Saccharomyces cerevisiae S288C: one gene and its partners. The gene in region 1 interacts genetically with each later gene. Each region holds a gene or a part of one and is shown on either strand. Other genes may lie near its edges.

Region 1 (7,849 bases):
TTTTCTATAATGATAGCGAAGCACACAAGTACACGGGTTCGACCAGAGTGCAGCATATCCAGGCGAAGATGACGCTGAGGGCGTTGGAGCTTTTGAATCTGCAGCCGTGCAGTTTCATTCTGGATATCGGGTGCGGGTCCGGACTGTCTGGGGAGATTTTGACGCAGGAGGGAGACCATGTGTGGTGTGGTTTGGATATATCGCCCAGCATGCTTGCGACCGGTCTTAGTAGAGAGCTGGAGGGCGACTTGATGTTGCAGGATATGGGCACCGGGATACCGTTCCGGGCGGGCTCGTTTGACGCGGCTATTAGTATCAGTGCGATCCAATGGCTGTGCAATGCGGACACTTCATACAACGATCCTAAACAGCGGTTGATGAGGTTTTTCAACACATTGTATGCTGCACTGAAGAAGGGAGGGAAATTTGTGGCCCAGTTCTACCCGAAAAACGACGACCAGGTGGACGACATACTGCAGTCTGCCAAGGTGGCAGGGTTCAGTGGCGGGCTTGTGGTGGACGACCCAGAGTCTAAAAAGAATAAGAAGTACTACCTTGTGTTGAGCAGTGGGGCCCCACCGCAGGGGGAGGAGCAGGTGAATTTGGACGGTGTGACCATGGACGAGGAGAACGTCAACTTGAAGAAACAACTGCGCCAGCGCTTGAAGGGAGGCAAAGACAAGGAGTCTGCCAAGAGTTTCATTCTAAGAAAGAAGGAGCTCATGAAAAGACGTGGGAGGAAAGTTGCGAAGGACTCCAAGTTCACCGGGAGGAAAAGAAGACACAGGTTCTAGAAGAAACACACATCCTCACACGCATATTCTTTTGTATACTATAAAAATACACACTTATACATTTCCCTCTGTCTCTGTCTCCTTCTACATGTATACTTGTATATGTATACTTGTATATATACACTTATATCTGTATGTGAGTGGTCAATGGCTCCGCGCACTTTTATGTAGTGATGTATTTTCCTTTTTTTCTTGGTTTTCAATTTTGGTGCTTTGGAACTCCCAGTAAAGAAGAAGAAGAAGAATCGAGTCTTCCCTCTGAGCAGCTGCTGAAAGGGAGAGAGAACCATAGCGATGTGGAGCAGGAACGTCAGATTGCTTGGATCATGGACAAGGTCCTACATGGTCCCCGCCACCAAGAGAAAAACCATCCCCGTGTACCCACCTGTGCAGCGCATAGCTTCGTCGCAGATTATGAAGCAGGTGGCCCTCTCAGAAATAGAGTCTCTGGATCCCGGGGCCGTTAAGAGGAAGCTCATCAGTAAAAAGAACAAGGACCGCTTGAAGGCAGGCGACGTGGTCCGGATTGTGTACGACTCGTCCAAGTGCTCGTACGACACCTTTGTTGGCTACATCCTTTCCATAGACCGCAAACAACTGGTGCAAGACGCCTCGTTGCTGTTGCGGAACCAGATAGCCAAGACGGCCGTCGAGATTAGAGTGCCATTGTTTTCGCCGCTGATCGAGAGAATCGACTTGCTAACCCCCCACGTCTCGAGCAGACAAAGAAACAAACACTACTACATCAGAGGTACAAGGTTGGATGTCGGCGACCTCGAGGCAGGTCTAAGAAGAAAGAAATAGGCTAGGCGCGGGTTCTGTGGCCACCCATCTCCTGTATATAAGAAAAATAGTGCGTGTATAAAATCTACGTATACTAACTATGGGTAAAGTAAACCTTTTTGTACTGTTTTCTTTTTTTTTTTTTTGGTTTCCCGTAGTGATGACGTACGTGTATAGAGAATTGAAGCGAAAATAAAAAAAACGACACAAAATATTGTTCTCATTGGCTTTTTTATTTTCTATTTTACACAGCATATAGAGGTATACTCAAGTGCTAGACATCCTCTAACATCCGCCAAGAAAAACAGCAAAAAAACACTGGTCATGAAGCCACAGTGCATACTCATCTCTTTGCTGGTCAACCTCGCATACGCAGAGGAGTATTTGGTGAGGTTCAAAAATCCCACAGCATTCCAACAATTCACTTCGAATTCCAACAGGTCATGGAGACAGTTCATCGACAACAAAATTGAGAAGAAATTCTCCATCGGATCCTTCCGCGGCGTGACCATGAACCTGTCCAAGAACTTAGTGAACAAGCTGAAGAAAAGCCCACTGGTGGCTGATATTGTGCCCAACTTCAGGTTCGAAGCTTTTGAAGGCGACAGTGTAAATAGCGCCGAGTCGAGTTATACGTTTAACGCTACCGCCAAATACTCGTACGAAGACGTCGAGGAAGAGCAAAATATAACGTATCAACCAGACGCACCCCGTCACTTGGCCCGGATTTCCCGCCACTACCAACTCCCATTCGACGTTGGGGACAAGGACCGCTACAAAAGCTGGTTCAATTACTACTATGAACACGACTATCAAGGTCAAGACGTCAACGCCTATATCATGGATACGGGTATCTTCGCGGACCATCCGGAATTCGAAGACAGAGTCATCCAGGGGATTGACTTGACCAAAGAAGGGTTTGGCGACCAGAATGGCCACGGAACGCACGTGGCGGGACTCGTAGGTTCCAAAACGTATGGAGCGGCAAAGAGGGTCAATCTTGTGGAGGTCAAAGTCTTGGGCAAAGACGGGTCTGGCGAGGCCAGTAACGTTCTTAGTGGTCTGGAGTTCATCGTGGAACATTGCACAAAGGTCAGTCGCCCACAGGGTAAAAAATGCGTGGCCAATCTAAGTCTAGGGAGTTTCAGGAGCCCCATAATCAACATGGCAGTGGAGGGGGCCATTGAAGAAGGTATTGTATTTGTTGCCGCGGCGGGGAACTTCAATTTAGACGCCTACTGGGCCTCACCTGCGTCTGCAGAAAACGTTATCACCGTAGGGGCCTTTGATGACCACATTGACACGATTGCCAAGTTCAGCAATTGGGGGCCCTGTGTAAACATCTTTGCCCCAGGCGTGGAAATTGAGTCGCTATCTCATCTGAACTACAACGACACTTTAATTTTGTCAGGTACATCTATGTCGACGCCCATTGTCACCGGAGTTGCAGCGATCCTACTCTCGAAGGGAATTGAGCCTGAAATGATAGCACAGGAGATTGAGTATTTGTCCACGCGTAATGTTTTCCATAGAAGAACGTTGTTTTTCAAGCCTTCTACGCCAAACCAGATTCTTTACAACGGCGTCGATAAACTGGACGATCCATATGACGACGAAACGTTCCCTCGATTGAACATAGAGGCAATTGCTAAGGAACTGGAGGAGTACAATGCCACTTTACAAACTCCTATGTCTGAGAATCTTCAATCTGGTTCAAAACTGTGGGGTTGGAATAACGATGTCACACTACCTCTTGGTGAGATTCGATTGAAGAGGCGTGATTTTATGAAAAATTTGTAGTGTTTTTCTCTTTCTCTCATAAATAAATTATTGCATAATGTCATGTCAACATTAGTTTTTTCGCTCTTCTCTTGCGTATTCTTGTACTTTTCATTTTTCATTTTTCATAAAGCGAATAAAAGAGCAACCTAAGGTGTGAAACCATACCCTTCGGGAGAAAAGAAACAGAAGTGTGGCAAGAAATATGAGGTTAGCTGTGGTTGTGACCCTACTTGTTCACTGTTTCCTAGTGACATGCTCTCCAGGAGATAATTTAGATGAGTTTATAGACTGTACGTATGCGTGCGAGTATAACAGAAGATGTCCGAATTCCCAAATAAACTACATTGACCCTGAAACCAACATGTTTCATGATATTGAGTTTTTCGATACCCCGCCTTTGTACTCTAAGTTATTGTTCTGGGATTGTATCTCAGATTGTGATTACCAATGTCAGCACATCATTACGCGCTGGAGAATTGACGAAGAGGAAGAAATATACCAATTCCATGGGAAATGGCCATTTTTGAGAGTATTGGGGACTCAGGAATTCTTCTCGACGATATTCAGTATAGGTAACTTTATTCCACATTATAAGGGATTTGTAAAGTTTTCTAGAATCATACGCGAAGAGGGAGATAGGAGGAGAAAAAACAGCAGAAGTATACTGATTTGGAACTACCTTTACGTTACTGTGGCGGGAATGTTGGCTTGGACAGCAAGCTCGGTCTTTCACTGTCGTGATTTGATCATAACGGAGAAGCTAGATTACTTTTTCGCAGGTTTAACTGTCCTAACAGGGTTTCATGCAATATTTGCAAGAATGACTTCCATGTTCCTGTACCCCAAGATAGCACAAGCGTTCACTGCGTCAGTTGCGGCAATCTTTGCCCTGCACATCTTGAGACTCTATGTTGACTGGTCGTACACATACAACATGAGATTCAACATTTTTTTCGGTGTTTTACAGTATATTTTATTGATAATGTTATCATGCCAAAACTACCATGCTCTGCAAAAGCAAAAGCTAATGGGCGAATTCAAGAAAACCGCGTACTCCAGCTTCAAGCGGCAAATCTTCAAACTGTGTGTCATTCCAATTCTTCTTGTGATTGTAACCACAATGGCCATGTCATTGGAACTGTTTGACTTTTTTAGTTACGAATGGCAGATTGATGCCCATGCGCTATGGCATCTGTGCACAATATGGCCCTCGTGGGTATTGTACGACTTTTTCCTCGAGGATTATGCCTATTGGGGTAATAGACAATTGTACTAAATATCTTAATTCACCTGTTTACTATCATGAATAATAGTTATATATGTATTTTTTTTTGTTTATTTTTGATTTTCTTTTACCGTTATCACATTCTGTTTATTTTTCACTTTTTTTTCGCTCTTTCTGTATGTATAGAACTAAATGCAAAAGAATATTTGTGCCAAGATAAGGCCAAGAAATTTTTGGGGCAACAGTAGGCAGTGAAAGCGCTCTTAACGTACTTTGGCAAAGGATGATCCCAGCTCCACTTGATGCTTCCTTATTGAGAGAACATGCATTCCAAGGAACTAATGATCTAAGCACAGTTTTGAGTCCAAGTACGTTTACCGATGAAGGTGGATATAAACCTGTATTGAAATACGGACTCGGTTATTTCAATTATGGACTGGTTATAGACGATGAAGTGTATGATTATTCAGTGTGTGATATCATAAGGGGTCACGTTTACGATCATTTTTGGTGTTATTTCTGTTGTTTCATGATTTTGTTTACTATCTGGTTAATAAGTTTAAATTGGTGTCCCAGCAGCAAGAAAAGCAAGTTTGATTGGAGCAAGAAGAAGGACGACTTTAAGATGGAAGGAGGTGATTTAGAGTACCAACATGTAAAGATCTAAATCTACATCGTTCTCAGGACGACTTATTACTGCTGGTTTCGAAGGAATAACAATGCATTTTTTTATCCCACCATTTTCCTCGTTTATTACAAAAAGCAATGAAATAATATGTATATGTCTACATAGAGATATTATTATAGTAATAATGCATTTTCTATTTGATTTTAATTTAATTTATTTTATTTTTTTTGGATGTTTAAAGTTGAAAATAATAAAATGATTAACTATTGACAGAGGGGTAAGTGGGGTTGTTACCTTTTTCCTTTTGGTTAAAGGAATAAATGTTTTCTTATAACATAAAAAAAGCTATAGTTATATAAACAAGGATTGCGAATTCTTAGAAACATATTCCATGGTTATTTTTTTTATTTTTTACTGCATTCAATTATTTGAAGAAACTGTCCATCAAACATAAGTTTCTTGATAATGTGCTGTTTGTAGTGAACTAGAATTGTTATAATAATATGCTGCAATTTTTATCAGATTGCTTCAAAATCTGAGTGATAATTGTATTTTTTTTATTTATTTAATCCAAGAGTTATTCTAAAATCGCACTAAAATTAGTAAAAAAATCAAAAAAAAAAAAGCTGCAGACATCTAAAATGGTTGTGAATCATTCTTGCGGATATCGTGCTACAAAATCAGTCTTATTTAATTCAATAAAATACATAGAACTTTCAATATAGTGAATATTTTTGGTATTACCTTAAGTAACCGGGTAACACTTAAATACTTTTGCCGAATGGGGCAATTGGTAAATTGCGTAAGATGAAAACTATAGTAAAATGGAACGGATGTAAAAGTATTTTTTGATGAAGTTTTGGACAGTGAAGAGGTGACAACAGGATAAATAGGTGGACTTCATGATGTCCTTTTCCAAAAACGCCACTCCTAGAGCCATTGTTAGTGAATCTAGCACTTTGCATGAGATGAAGTTTAGAAATTTTAGAGTTGCCCATGAAAAAATCTCGTTGGATATAGATCTAGCTACTCACTGCATTACCGGTAGCGCTACTATAATAATCATTCCGTTGATCCAAAACCTAGAATATGTAACTTTTGATTGCAAGGAAATGACTATTAAAGATGTTCTGGTCGAAAATCGTCGATGTGATCAATTTATTCATGACGACCCACTTCAAACAAATTTGAATGGATTGACTTCACAAAATGTATTATACAGCGACAATTCCATTGAACAGTCACATTTTTTGAGATCTAAGTTTGCTAGCTTGAATGAATACCCAGAAACGGACTCTAAATCCCAGTTAACTATAAAAATACCATCTTCCATCAAAATATCTTTGGAGGACGCCAATGCATTAAGTAATTACACTCCGATTACTCCTTCAATTAAGACTACCCCTGGGTTTCAAGAATCTGTTTTCACTCCAATTACATTACAAATTGAATATGAAATCAGAAACCCAAAGTCGGGTATTAAATTCGATACTGTGTATGCTGACAAGCCCTGGTTATGGAACGTTTACACTTCAAATGGTGAGATTTGCAGTTCTGCATCATATTGGGTCCCATGTGTCGATTTGCTTGATGAAAAATCTACATGGGAGTTAGAATTCAGCGTACCGAGATTGGTTAAAAATATAGGTACTTCGAAATTAATCGGACAAAATGGAGAAGAGAGTGAAAAAGAGAAGGAGGATACGCCTGAGCACGATGAAGAGGAAGAGGGGAAGCCGGCAAGAGTTATCAAAGACGAAGATAAGGATTCTAACTTGAAAAATGACGAAGAAGGCAAAAATAGTAAAAGCAAAGATGCACAAGATAATGATGAAGAAGAAGAGGAAGGCGAAAGTGACGAAGAGGAAGAGGAAGGGGAAGAGGAAAGGCGGAATATTGAGGAAAGCAACAATCCGAGTTTGAGGGATGTGATTGTGTGTTGTTCAGAATATTCAAATATTAAAGAACTTCCGCACCCGATTGATTTGACGAAAAAAAAATGCATATTTCAGATAATTAATCCTGTGGCTCCACATCACATTGGTTGGGCTATAGGCGCCTTTAATTCATGGTCTTTACCTTTGATATCACCTCCAAGTGTTGATGCCGAGGACGAAGTAGAGGAAGACAAGTTGAGAGAGAATGTTGTGGACAATGTTAACGATACTATGGATGACGACATTGGTTCGGATATTATACCCATTCAAATTTTCACACTTCCGACGCAGGAAACAGATGAGTTAACAGTTATAAATTCGACAGTTGTCTGCCAAAAAATTATAGATTTCTACTCGAAAGAATTTGGGTCTTATCCTTTCACTTGTTACTCTATGGTGTTTTTACCTACCGCACCTTCTAAGCATATGGATTTTGCAGCATTAGGCATTTGTAATACCAGATTATTGTACCCTCTAGAAGTTATTGATAAAGCATTCAGTACTACGAATGAGTTAGCATGGGCACTTGCTAACCAATGGTCTTGTGTGAATATAACTCCTTTAGATATGAACGACTACTGGTGCTGTCTTGGTATTGCTGGTTATATGGTGTTTCAGGTAACCAAAAAATTAATGGGTAATAACACGTATAAATATCAATTAAAGCGTAATAGTGAGGCGATTGTGGAACAAGACTTCG
Region 2 (5,422 bases), on another chromosome or scaffold:
TCACCAGTTAATAGCTTGATCAAAGTGGATTTACCAGCACCGTTAGGACCTAAACAAGCCACACGAGAAGACAGAGACAATGAACAGGAGACATGGCTTAAGGAAGGCTTTTGGGCACCTGGATAAGAGAAAGTTACATCAGTCATTTTAGCGACGGCTCTAGTGTTAGACTTAACACCTGTTAAAATACCTGGGGGTGGGAAACGCATTTGAGCATTAGAATCTGTTAAGGTATAGTAAGATTTAGCTTCAGGTTTCTGCTCAACAAATGCTGCCAAGTTACCTTTGTAGTAAGCCAATTTCTTGTTTTCATAATGGATGATGTCAGTACAGACTGTATCTAAGAAACCAGAGTCATGCGAAACAATCAATGAAGTAATATCAGTATGTTCCAGTAAGTATTCTTCTAACCATTTAACGTTCGAAACATCTAAATGATTGGTAGGTTCATCCAGCAATAAAATATCAGCTTTTTGTAACATAGCTCTTGCCAATTCCAACTTCATTTTCCAACCACCAGATAAAGATCCAACAGTTTGTGCTCTTCTCTCTTCATCAAAACCGACAGATTCTAAAGCGGCTGCAATTTCCTCACGAGAAGTAGATTGCAGTTCTTCATCTAAAGCAATGAAGGAAACCAAGTCTAAATCACCTTCTTCACCTTGCAATTTATGTTCGACGAAACAGGTGCGTAATGTATCCTTGTCAGGAAAACCATCCAATTGACCATTAGCAATTGCTCTCATTAAAGTAGACTTACCAGCACCATTTCTACCACACAAACCGTAACGATGACCCTTTAGGAGACGAAGATTTGTTTTGTTCAAAAGCATTCTTGAACCATAAGCTAAGGAGAAATCAGTGTTGACAATCTCAATACCTTCGTCCTCATCTGCCCTTTCCTTTTCTTGGTAGAATAAAGCTCTCAAGTTATGGATAAAGTCTTGTTTGACAAATTCTCTTTGTGAATCTGAACCACCAAAAACGGCGGTCAAAAAATCTTCAAGTCTTTTCCAGTCGTTCACATTAGAATCCACGGTCAAAATCTTGCTCATATACTTGATAACAGTTTCGTCATTCATGTAAGGCTTGACAAAACAGGAATCATCAGCTTTAATGTCCTTGAGGTGATCAAGTAAGAAATCCCTACCTTCTTCTAAAGTCAGTCTGCCTGAGAATTTGTTTTCCTTATCAGCTTCGTCATCTTCTTTTAGAACGTTAAGGGCCTTTTCAGCCAATTCACGAACTTCAGGTAAGGACGCAGTATCAACAACCTTTTGGATACCGGGTAGTAGTAGAGGGATGAAGCTTTCAATTTCATTACGATTATTCACCAATCTTGTCAAATTCTCCACGACAATAACGGTTTGTCTTAATTGCTCTTGAGATGATGACGATAGGTTTAAAGATCTGTTTAGAATAGGAACTAACAAAGATAGTGAAGGTTCCGTAACTTCAGCGACAAATGTAACACTGGATAACGATTTTACAGATTCAGGAACCTTAGATGGATCTTGCAGGGTGTCCACGATCAATTTATAACGAGGAGACAAATCTAAGTTATCCAAAATAGAAACGTAGTCCAATAAAGTTTTGTAACCTTGTTTGGCCAATTCAGGTTTGAAATCAGTTGCTACATCGGTTAAAACTGGAACTGCATCTTTGAAAGTAAGTTCCAATAAATCGTTCGCCGAATCTTCTCTTATTCTATCTACAACGCTTAGAGCGGCCATTTTAGCTTGCCATTTGGCACCAGATGATAAGTAATCCAAAATCGTAGGCAGTACAAAACAGGTTAAAGCCTCCATTGGAAAGCAATTCAACAAAGAATCAATGGCATGTTGCGCGGCACGTTTGACTGTATTCTCTTTATCTGAAATACAGTCAAGTGCGACATTGAAGAATGGTAGCAAGTATGCTTCCTGTGGTGGCTTTCCACTGAAAAATTGAGCAATGTTGGAAATTATTAGCATGGCAGATTCTCTAACTAATGATGGATTCTTAGGTTTGATGAATTTAGATAGAACATCGACGATTTTCCACTCTTCAATTTTCTCACCCGTACTGTTACCTTCTTTGCCAAATTCTTCAATGATTAGTTTGATTTGATTTTTGCAATCAGTGATACTTTGACATTCAGGTATCTTTGACAAAAATTGAGAGATGGGTGTTAACTCTAAGTTCGACAGCTTTTCATTCAAAGAGGTCAAAGATGTAGTAGAAGCAGATGGAGTTGGAGTTCCACTTTGGTTGGGCGTCACAGCCGATTGTTTGTAAGTAGATTTTTGATAGCCCTGGCCATTGTATTTATTATAGTTATTGTAGTTGTTATAATTGTTGTAGTTGTTGTAGTTGTTGTAATTGTTGTAATTACTGTTATACGATTGGTAACCACCTTGTTGGTAGTTGCCCCCCTGTTTCCAATTACGCTGTTGTTGGTAGCTACTTTTTTTGGAAGCGTTATTACTACCGGCATCAGCAGCAGGGTTTTTAAAATAACCACCGAAGGGAGAAGCGACTAGATTTGGGTCCTTTGGTTGGTCGTCAAGGAAAGAGTTTAGATCCTTAAACTTCTTTGGAGGCATCCTGAGTTGAATTAGCACTGATTGTCGTTGTATTTACAGTTTACAAGATATAAATTATGCACTATAGATCGACGCATATGTATTATCTTAAATAGGTTGCAATATATTATTATTTTTTAACATTTATTGCGATGCTGCTGAAAATTTTTTTTCCACCTTGAAACTTTTCTTTTTCCATTGAAAAATTAGATGTGGTGTTTGGGTTTATTCCATTTGATCTTGTAACTTCTATACTAGTCACAACTAACAAGTCCAAAGTCAAGTGTACATAGTTATCCTATTTTCACCGTTATCACTTCAGTACCTTTTAATTTATATATATTAATGCACATGGCTCTGTTGTATCTTTCGAAGCAGTGTATGCCATTTTTTTCATGAGAAAGCGAAATTTGGCGTATTCGAAAAAAAGTGTAAACAAGAAGAAAACGTGCCAATTTTCAAGGCTTTATCGCAATTAAAGTGGCACAAAGGACCATAGTCACTGTGGAAAGGTAGTGGTATCTAATTGGATGCTGTAAGGATAGATTAGGTGCTTTTGATAACGTAAGAAAGGGACAAAAACAGAGAGGCAGCCAAAAATTACACAAAGCACAACAAAAATGAGAGCGTTGAGATTCCTGATTGAGAACAGAAACACTGTCTTTTTTACGCTCTTAGTAGCCTTGGTGCTTTCACTGTATTTATTGGTCTATTTATTTTCGCATACACCAAGGCCGCCATATCCAGAGGAGCTCAAATACATAGCTATTGATGAAAAAGGTCATGAAGTTAGTCGTGCCTTACCTAACTTGAATGAACACCAAGATGACGAAGAAATATTTTTATCTGTTGTTATCCCAAGCTATAATGAGACAGGTAGAATTTTACTAATGTTGACAGACGCAATCAGCTTTTTAAAGGAAAAATATGGTTCCAGATGGGAGATTGTCATAGTGGATGATGGTTCCACAGATAATACCACACAATACTGTTTGAAAATTTGTAAAGAACAGTTCAAATTGAACTACGAACAATTCAGAATCATCAAGTTTTCTCAAAACAGAGGCAAAGGTGGCGCAGTGAGACAAGGTTTTTTACATATTAGAGGTAAGTATGGTCTTTTTGCCGATGCTGATGGTGCTAGTAAGTTCAGTGATGTAGAAAAACTAATAGATGCTATTAGCAAAATTGAAACGTCTAGTACAGATCTAAAAACGACTAAACCAGCAGTAGCAATTGGTTCCAGAGCACATATGGTAAATACCGAAGCCGTCATAAAGAGATCAATGATAAGAAACTGCTTGATGTACGGTTTCCATACCTTAGTTTTCATCTTCGGCATCAGGTCTATCAAAGACACACAATGTGGATTCAAATTGTTCAACAGAGCCGCTATATTGAAAATTTTTCCGTATTTGCATACAGAGGGTTGGATCTTTGACGTTGAAATTTTGATCTTAGCCATCAGAAAAAGAATCCAAATTGAGGAGATACCAATTTCCTGGCATGAGGTTGATGGCTCTAAGATGGCTTTAGCTATTGATAGTATCAAAATGGCGAAAGACTTGGTTATTATAAGAATGGCCTATTTATTAGGGATATATAGAGATAATAAGAAATGTTAGAGTAATTATTTTTATGTTATTATTATCATTATTATTATTATTACATAAGCTTTCATAACAGCATTTGAGTAAACAAAAAAAATTTCTCGCTCAAGGGCATTTGCTTATTTTTTTTTGAAATGATTCAAATATTACATGACTTTCTTTGAACCTTCAAAAATTTCATATGATAAAGACGATAACTTTCTTCTAATAATTGTACCATTATTCAGAAACGTTCTAATAAGAGATGCATATTCTTTACTATCGTTCGTTATGTTATCAAAGGCGTTTAACAGTGCAGGCGTGTTGATTTCTAGTTCCACTTCGTGAGTGGTCTCTGATTGTCTACTTTTTGAATTTTGGTTATGATTTTCGACTTTTGTAATATCAATTCTGGTACAGGAATCATTATGAATGTAACTAACACGGTCTTTCGTCCTTTCACTAATTGGGCTTTGAGATTTATATTTTTCTGGCGGATCGTTGTCAGGTACAGGTAATTCCAAGTTTAGGGAGATTTTAACGTCGTAACTATCTTTTGGTGAATATAATAGTAGTTGGGCTACATGTCTTTTCTCTATAAATTGTCCTACCCTCCCAGTCTTAATATCTGTACTCATTCTCAAAAACCTTGGTCTTTGCGTGGATAGTCCGACTCTATAGACGGAATCTCTTGTCTGGGATTCAATAATACTGAATTTACCTGTATTTTCAGTGACTTCGCTAATACCACGAATATATTTGCTCAACTCTTTGAACAAAGATGCATCAATATTAGGCGTTAGATGGGCATCAAGCTCAGTGAAAACACATTGTGAAGAAACTGGTGGATTTACACGATCTGGGCCTTTCGCATCAATAATAACACCAAATTTCATTTCTAACTCAATGAAGGATCTTAGTTCAGGAGCAATTGAGTATATTGTAGCATAAACCCAGTCCTGTACTGACTTTGTTAAGTCATCATCGGGAATAATGTTTAAAAAAGATGGGTCAATTTTGAGATCTTTCACATTTATACTTTGAAGAGCTTTGATAGTAGGTTTCCATTTTTGTGCCCAAATTGGAACATTCCTGTACTTACTGGGCTTGGAAGACGCAGATATTTCATTCAGAACCTCCAAATCTCTCTTGATATTATTCTTTTTTGATTGTAAAGTAGCTTTCTCTTCAAAAATATTATCTACAGCTGCATTCGCTTCTTCTTCCTTCTTGACCACGCTTCCTACTGCATTTCCCGCTATCTTCTTC
Region 3 (5,692 bases), on another chromosome or scaffold:
CTCAAAACCTCGTATATTTATATACATATCCTCCAAACAAACTCCCAAGTTTCACTTTCCTGGATTTACCTTGGCATTCCTTTTCCCCATCCTCTTATAATGGTAATCGCGATCCTTAATTATGATATCACAATAGACGAAGGGCACACACCAATTTGCCACCGTAAGGATAGAGTAAGTTAAATGGCTAACTCATTATAATCTTCATGCTAAATCATATAAGGGCAGAGACGAAGCAAAGCGAAAAAAACATATTACAATCATGTCGGGTGCTGCTGCTGCATCTGCTGCTGGTTATGACAGGCACATCACTATCTTTTCCCCCGAGGGTCGTTTATATCAAGTAGAATATGCCTTTAAAGCGACTAATCAAACTAACATAAACTCACTAGCGGTCAGAGGTAAAGATTGTACAGTGGTGATAAGTCAGAAAAAGGTCCCTGATAAACTGTTGGATCCAACTACTGTTTCGTATATTTTTTGTATTTCAAGAACAATTGGTATGGTAGTGAACGGACCAATACCGGATGCAAGAAATGCGGCCCTAAGAGCCAAGGCTGAGGCTGCAGAATTCCGTTATAAATATGGTTATGATATGCCATGCGATGTATTGGCTAAGAGAATGGCTAACCTTTCCCAAATCTATACTCAAAGAGCATATATGAGACCATTAGGTGTTATACTCACATTTGTTTCGGTAGATGAAGAATTGGGTCCCTCCATTTACAAAACTGACCCTGCAGGTTATTACGTTGGCTACAAAGCTACTGCGACAGGACCAAAACAACAGGAGATCACAACAAACTTAGAAAACCATTTCAAAAAGAGTAAAATCGACCATATTAATGAAGAATCATGGGAGAAGGTGGTAGAATTTGCTATTACTCATATGATTGACGCACTGGGTACCGAATTTTCAAAGAATGACTTGGAAGTCGGTGTCGCTACAAAGGACAAATTCTTTACCTTGAGTGCTGAGAACATCGAAGAAAGGCTAGTAGCAATTGCTGAACAAGATTAACATACTTCCTGCCACAACATAATGTGAAATCACACGCGTCAACACTCAATATATGTATGGACACGTTTCATTTAGGATTTATTTTATAGGAAAAAGTAGATCAAGTAATAGAAAATCGAATCTTTTCAAGCCCTTTTGTCGCGTAAATACATCAATACTTTTATATACAAACTGTAAAATAAGTTAATGAAGTGGATAGAAAAAGAAAATAACTAGAAAACATAAGGAATAAAGACGTAAGGGCAATGTTTACAATACTCATCCCAATCTTTTCCGTACTTTCTCTTACATTTTGCTTGGTCTCTGAAGGCTCTGTGAATCAGGACAACAAGGAAGAATACTGGGAAAAACCATGGGAACACCGAGTTGAACCCGCAAGACAAGGCCCAAACGAGAGATTGAGTCCAATCGGCAGTGTAGTGAATTTTTCTAGCCAAAGTGTACCAACCATCAATCAATAGGTACGATCCATTGGAGGTAACCATATACTTTGGATTCTTCAAAATTTGGTATGGCAAAAATGGGAAAGTCTTCCTACCTGTCTTGTCACCAGACATTTGCTTTCTGAAGGCATTTTTCTGAGCATTTGCCGTGTCAAAGAAGTAGTAGGCGCATAATAGAACAACGTACAGCGAAACATTGTACAGTGTAGACCAGTGATATTCAGATGGGTCATGGTAGTACAAATACAACGTACAATGACAGTAAGTGTATGGGACACCGGCAATATTCCAGAAGATCAGCATAAATCCAAACTTTTCGTAAGCCATGTCCCAGGTTGGAACAATCAATTCTTCACCTTTAGCACATGCGTTCGCGTACAACCAATGAGCTAACATGACAACCCCCAATTGTGGTGTCACATAGCCGTAAGTCTCCCACTGCTTCAAACAGGCACCCAAAGTGATAAAGTAAAGGGTGAACCAAGGTAATCTAACCTCGAAAAACATCTTCAAGTCCAAAATCCCCCACCTAGGGTTTAGTGGAGCTCCCATGAAGAAATCATATAGATGGTTTCCTGTCATTCTATGATAGTCATGTGAGATAAATAAAGTCCATAAGTACAATATGATGGAGAAGGCAAACCCTGAAATAATGGCACATGTCATGATCCTCCCAAAACGGTCAATAATGACATACAATCTAAAAAGATTGGTAAAGTGCAAAACCAAGACCAAAGTGGTAGTTACATACAAGGTCCACATGGCATTACAAAAGTAAGGCAATTGTTTTCCCTTCAAATGAGACAATGGTTGACCTTTTGTCCAAATCCCGGGCAACGTATAGTAGAAAATGATCTGAAACACCCAAAATGTTAAGAAAATAGTCCAGTCATACTTTTCTGGGATACCGTTCTCCAAGACTAACTGGTATAGGTGCTTGATAAAGTGCATCCACGATTCACCAGCCTTGGGTAGGGCAACCTTACCGTGATAAAATTCCGCACAAATCCACATATAGTACATTAGCAGTGGAAACCCGATCAGCATACCAATAACACCAGTAGTCCCACCAAACTCATATTCGATTTCATTTGGCTTCAGCCATTTACCCTGAGGCAGGAAATTAACCGGTTGCTTGGACTTTTTCTCCTCTCCCTGCACCTGCAGCTTCTCACTATTATCCTTTGCCATAGCGATGCTAATCTATGTACACTACGTAAATATCCGTATCTGCCTATCTACATAACTGAACTACATTCCTACGTTATTACCACTGTTTGGTAATTTTTCCTCGAGGATATATAATTCTGCTTTTCCATAGTAACGCCAAACGATCGCGTAATACCGGCAATTACGGGATGCACGAAAATAGCGCCAAGGAACGAAAAAGAAATGAGTCTCGTTTAGTTATTAAACGAGAAGAAACGAGCCCTGATTTACATTCTCAGGGTCCAATAGGGCTTTGTTGGAAACAGACGCATACCCTAAATGGAGTTTCTTTTCTTGTTCAAGACCTAATGAGTGGCAATAAGAGGCGCTAATTAAAGCTCTTCAAAACAACCTTATTCGCCTATTACACATGATCAGCCACTCTTTCATTGTCAACAATAGCATGATAGCAGGACCATAGCGGCCATATAGACATTACCAGGAGTGAGTTTTGGCTAAAAAAAGACAATTTGCACATCACTTGCTAACTATTCATCTCAGCCAAGAATATACAGAAAAGAATCCAAGAAACTGGAAGATGCGAGGCTTGACACCTAAGAACGGTGTACATATTGAGACGGGTCCGGATACAGAATCGTCCGCGGACTCCAGCAACTTTTCTACAGGTTTCAGCGGCAAGATTCGTAAGCCAAGGTCGAAAGTAAGTAAAGCGTGCGATAACTGTAGAAAAAGAAAGATAAAATGTAATGGGAAGTTTCCCTGCGCAAGCTGTGAGATATATTCATGTGAGTGCACGTTCAGCACTAGACAAGGTGGCGCTCGAATAAAAAACCTTCACAAGACGAGTTTGGAAGGTACAACCGTACAAGTCAAAGAGGAAACAGATTCCAGTTCGACTTCTTTTTCTAATCCTCAGCGATGTACAGACGGGCCATGCGCAGTGGAACAACCAACGAAATTTTTTGAGAATTTCAAGCTAGGTGGTCGTAGTAGTGGTGATAATAGCGGAAGTGATGGGAAGAATGACGACGATGTGAATAGAAACGGTTTTTATGAAGACGATAGCGAATCACAGGCAACTTTGACATCTCTACAAACCACTCTGAAAAATTTGAAGGAGATGGCTCATTTAGGTACACATGTAACCTCAGCCATCGAGAGCATTGAACTTCAGATAAGTGACTTGCTTAAGCGATGGGAACCCAAAGTGAGGACCAAAGAATTAGCAACAACGAAATTTTACCCTAATAAATCAATAGAAACTCAATTGATGAAAAACAAATACTGTGATGTGGTACATTTGACAAGATATGCCGCTTGGTCAAACAATAAGAAGGACCAAGATACTTCTAGTCAACCTTTGATCGACGAAATCTTTGGTTTGTACTCTCCTTTCCAATTTTTGTCACTTCAAGGTATTGGTAAATGTTTCCAAAATTATAGATCCAAATCCAAATGCGAGATTTTTCCCAGGACCGCCAAGGAAACCATATACATCATGTTAAGGTTTTTCGACGTTTGTTTTCATCACATCAACCAAGGCTGTGTCTCCATAGCTAATCCCCTGGAAAACTACCTACAGAAAATGAATCTTTTACCTTCAACCCCATCTTCGATATCATCTGCAGGGAGCCCGAATACAGCACACACAAAATCGCATGTTGCGTTAGTGATAAATCACTTACCGCAGCCCTTTGTGAGAAATATAACCGGAATAAGTAATTCTGAGCTACTAAGCGAAATGAATAATGATATCAGCATGTTTGGCATTTTATTGAAGATGTTGGATATGCATAAAAATTCCTACCAGAACTTCCTAATGGAAATCACATCTAACCCCTCCGTGGCTAAAAACACGCAGTCAATTGATGTCTTGCAGGAATTCATCCATTATTGTCAAGCTGGAGAGGCGCTAATCGCCTTATGTTACAGCTATTATAATTCTACATTATACAACTACGTGGACTTCACATGCGACATAACGCATTTAGAGCAACTTCTATACTTTTTGGATCTGCTATTTTGGCTATCGGAAATATACGGTTTTGAAAAAGTCTTGAACGTAGCAGTTCATTTTGTTTCAAGAGTTGGTTTATCAAGGTGGGAATTTTACGTGGGTCTTGATGAAAACTTTGCTGAAAGAAGAAGAAATCTCTGGTGGAAAGCTTTCTATTTCGAGAAAACTTTAGCCTCTAAACTTGGCTATCCTTCGAACATTGATGACTCCAAAATCAATTGTTTATTACCTAAGAATTTTCGAGATGTTGGGTTCTTGGATAATAGAGATTTTATCGAGAACGTCCACTTAGTTCGCAGGAGCGAAGCTTTTGACAACATGTGCATATCCGACTTAAAATACTATGGCGAATTAGCTGTCTTACAAATAGTCAGCCATTTCTCATCATCTGTTTTATTCAATGAAAAATTCACGTCAATTAGGAATACATCAAAACCATCTGTTGTTAGAGAGAAACTACTCTTCGAGGTACTCGAGATTTTTAACGAAACAGAAATGAAATATGATGCTATCAAAGAGCAAACTGGAAAATTGTTCGATATTGCATTCTCTAAAGATAGTACTGAACTCAAAGTTTCAAGAGAGGATAAGATTATGGCTTCAAAATTTGTTCTATTTTACGAGCACCATTTCTGCAGAATGGTTAACGAATCTGATAATATTGTCGCCAGATTATGCGTGCACAGAAGGCCCTCAATACTAATTGAAAACTTGAAAATATACCTTCACAAGATTTACAAATCATGGACCGATATGAACAAAATCTTATTAGACTTTGACAACGATTATTCCGTATACCGTTCGTTCGCCCATTATTCTATCAGTTGCATTATTTTGGTATCACAAGCATTCTCAGTGGCCGAATTCATTAAAGTAAATGACGTTGTGAATATGATTAGAGTCTTCAAAAGATTTTTGGATATAAAAATTTTTTCCGAAAATGAGACCAATGAGCATGTCTTCAACAGCCAAAGCTTTAAAGACTATACAAGAGCTTTTTCTTTCCTGACAATCGTCACTCGTATCATGCTTTTGGCATAC

What was found.
Region 2: mutations in PER1 (region 1) and ALG5 together harm fitness more than expected from each alone (negative genetic interaction), as found in Saccharomyces cerevisiae (3 studies listed by BioGRID).
Region 3: mutations in PER1 (region 1) and ERG4 together harm fitness more than expected from each alone (negative genetic interaction), as found in Saccharomyces cerevisiae (3 studies listed by BioGRID).

Annotation. Positions count from the first base shown.
Region 1 is NC_001135.5:203,663-211,511, reverse strand, and holds PER1 (Per1p), read left to right. Parts: upstream 1-3,561; coding exon 3,562-4,635; downstream 4,636-7,849. Other genes in the region: BUD23 (18S rRNA (guanine1575-N7)-methyltransferase), read left to right, coding at 1-794; mitochondrial 54S ribosomal protein bL19m IMG1, read left to right, coding at 1,089-1,598; RRT12 (Rrt12p), read left to right, coding at 1,902-3,377; YCR043C (uncharacterized protein), read left to right, coding at 4,868-5,251; transcription initiation factor TFIID subunit TAF2, read left to right, coding at 6,115-7,849. UniProt on the Saccharomyces cerevisiae protein: Involved in the lipid remodeling steps of GPI-anchor maturation. Lipid remodeling steps consist in the generation of 2 saturated fatty chains at the sn-2 position of GPI-anchors proteins.
Region 2 is NC_001148.4:118,930-124,351, reverse strand, and holds ALG5 (dolichyl-phosphate beta-glucosyltransferase), read left to right. Parts: upstream 1-3,184; coding exon 3,185-4,189; downstream 4,190-5,422. Other genes in the region: NEW1 (New1p), read right to left, coding at 1-2,585; CET1 (polynucleotide 5'-phosphatase), read right to left, coding at 4,321-5,422. UniProt on the Saccharomyces cerevisiae protein: Endoplasmic reticulum membrane-bound UDP-glucose:dolichyl-phosphate glucosyltransferase involved in protein N-linked glycosylation.
Region 3 is NC_001139.9:469,818-475,509, reverse strand, and holds ERG4 (delta(24(24(1)))-sterol reductase), read right to left. Parts: upstream 2,656-5,692; coding exon 1,234-2,655; downstream 1-1,233. Other genes in the region: SCL1 (proteasome core particle subunit alpha 1), read left to right, coding at 263-1,021; drug-responsive transcription factor PDR1, read left to right, coding at 3,212-5,692. UniProt on the Saccharomyces cerevisiae protein: C-24(28) sterol reductase; part of the third module of ergosterol biosynthesis pathway that includes the late steps of the pathway. ERG4 Catalyzes the last step of ergosterol biosynthesis by converting ergosta-5,7,22,24(28)-tetraen-3beta-ol into ergosterol.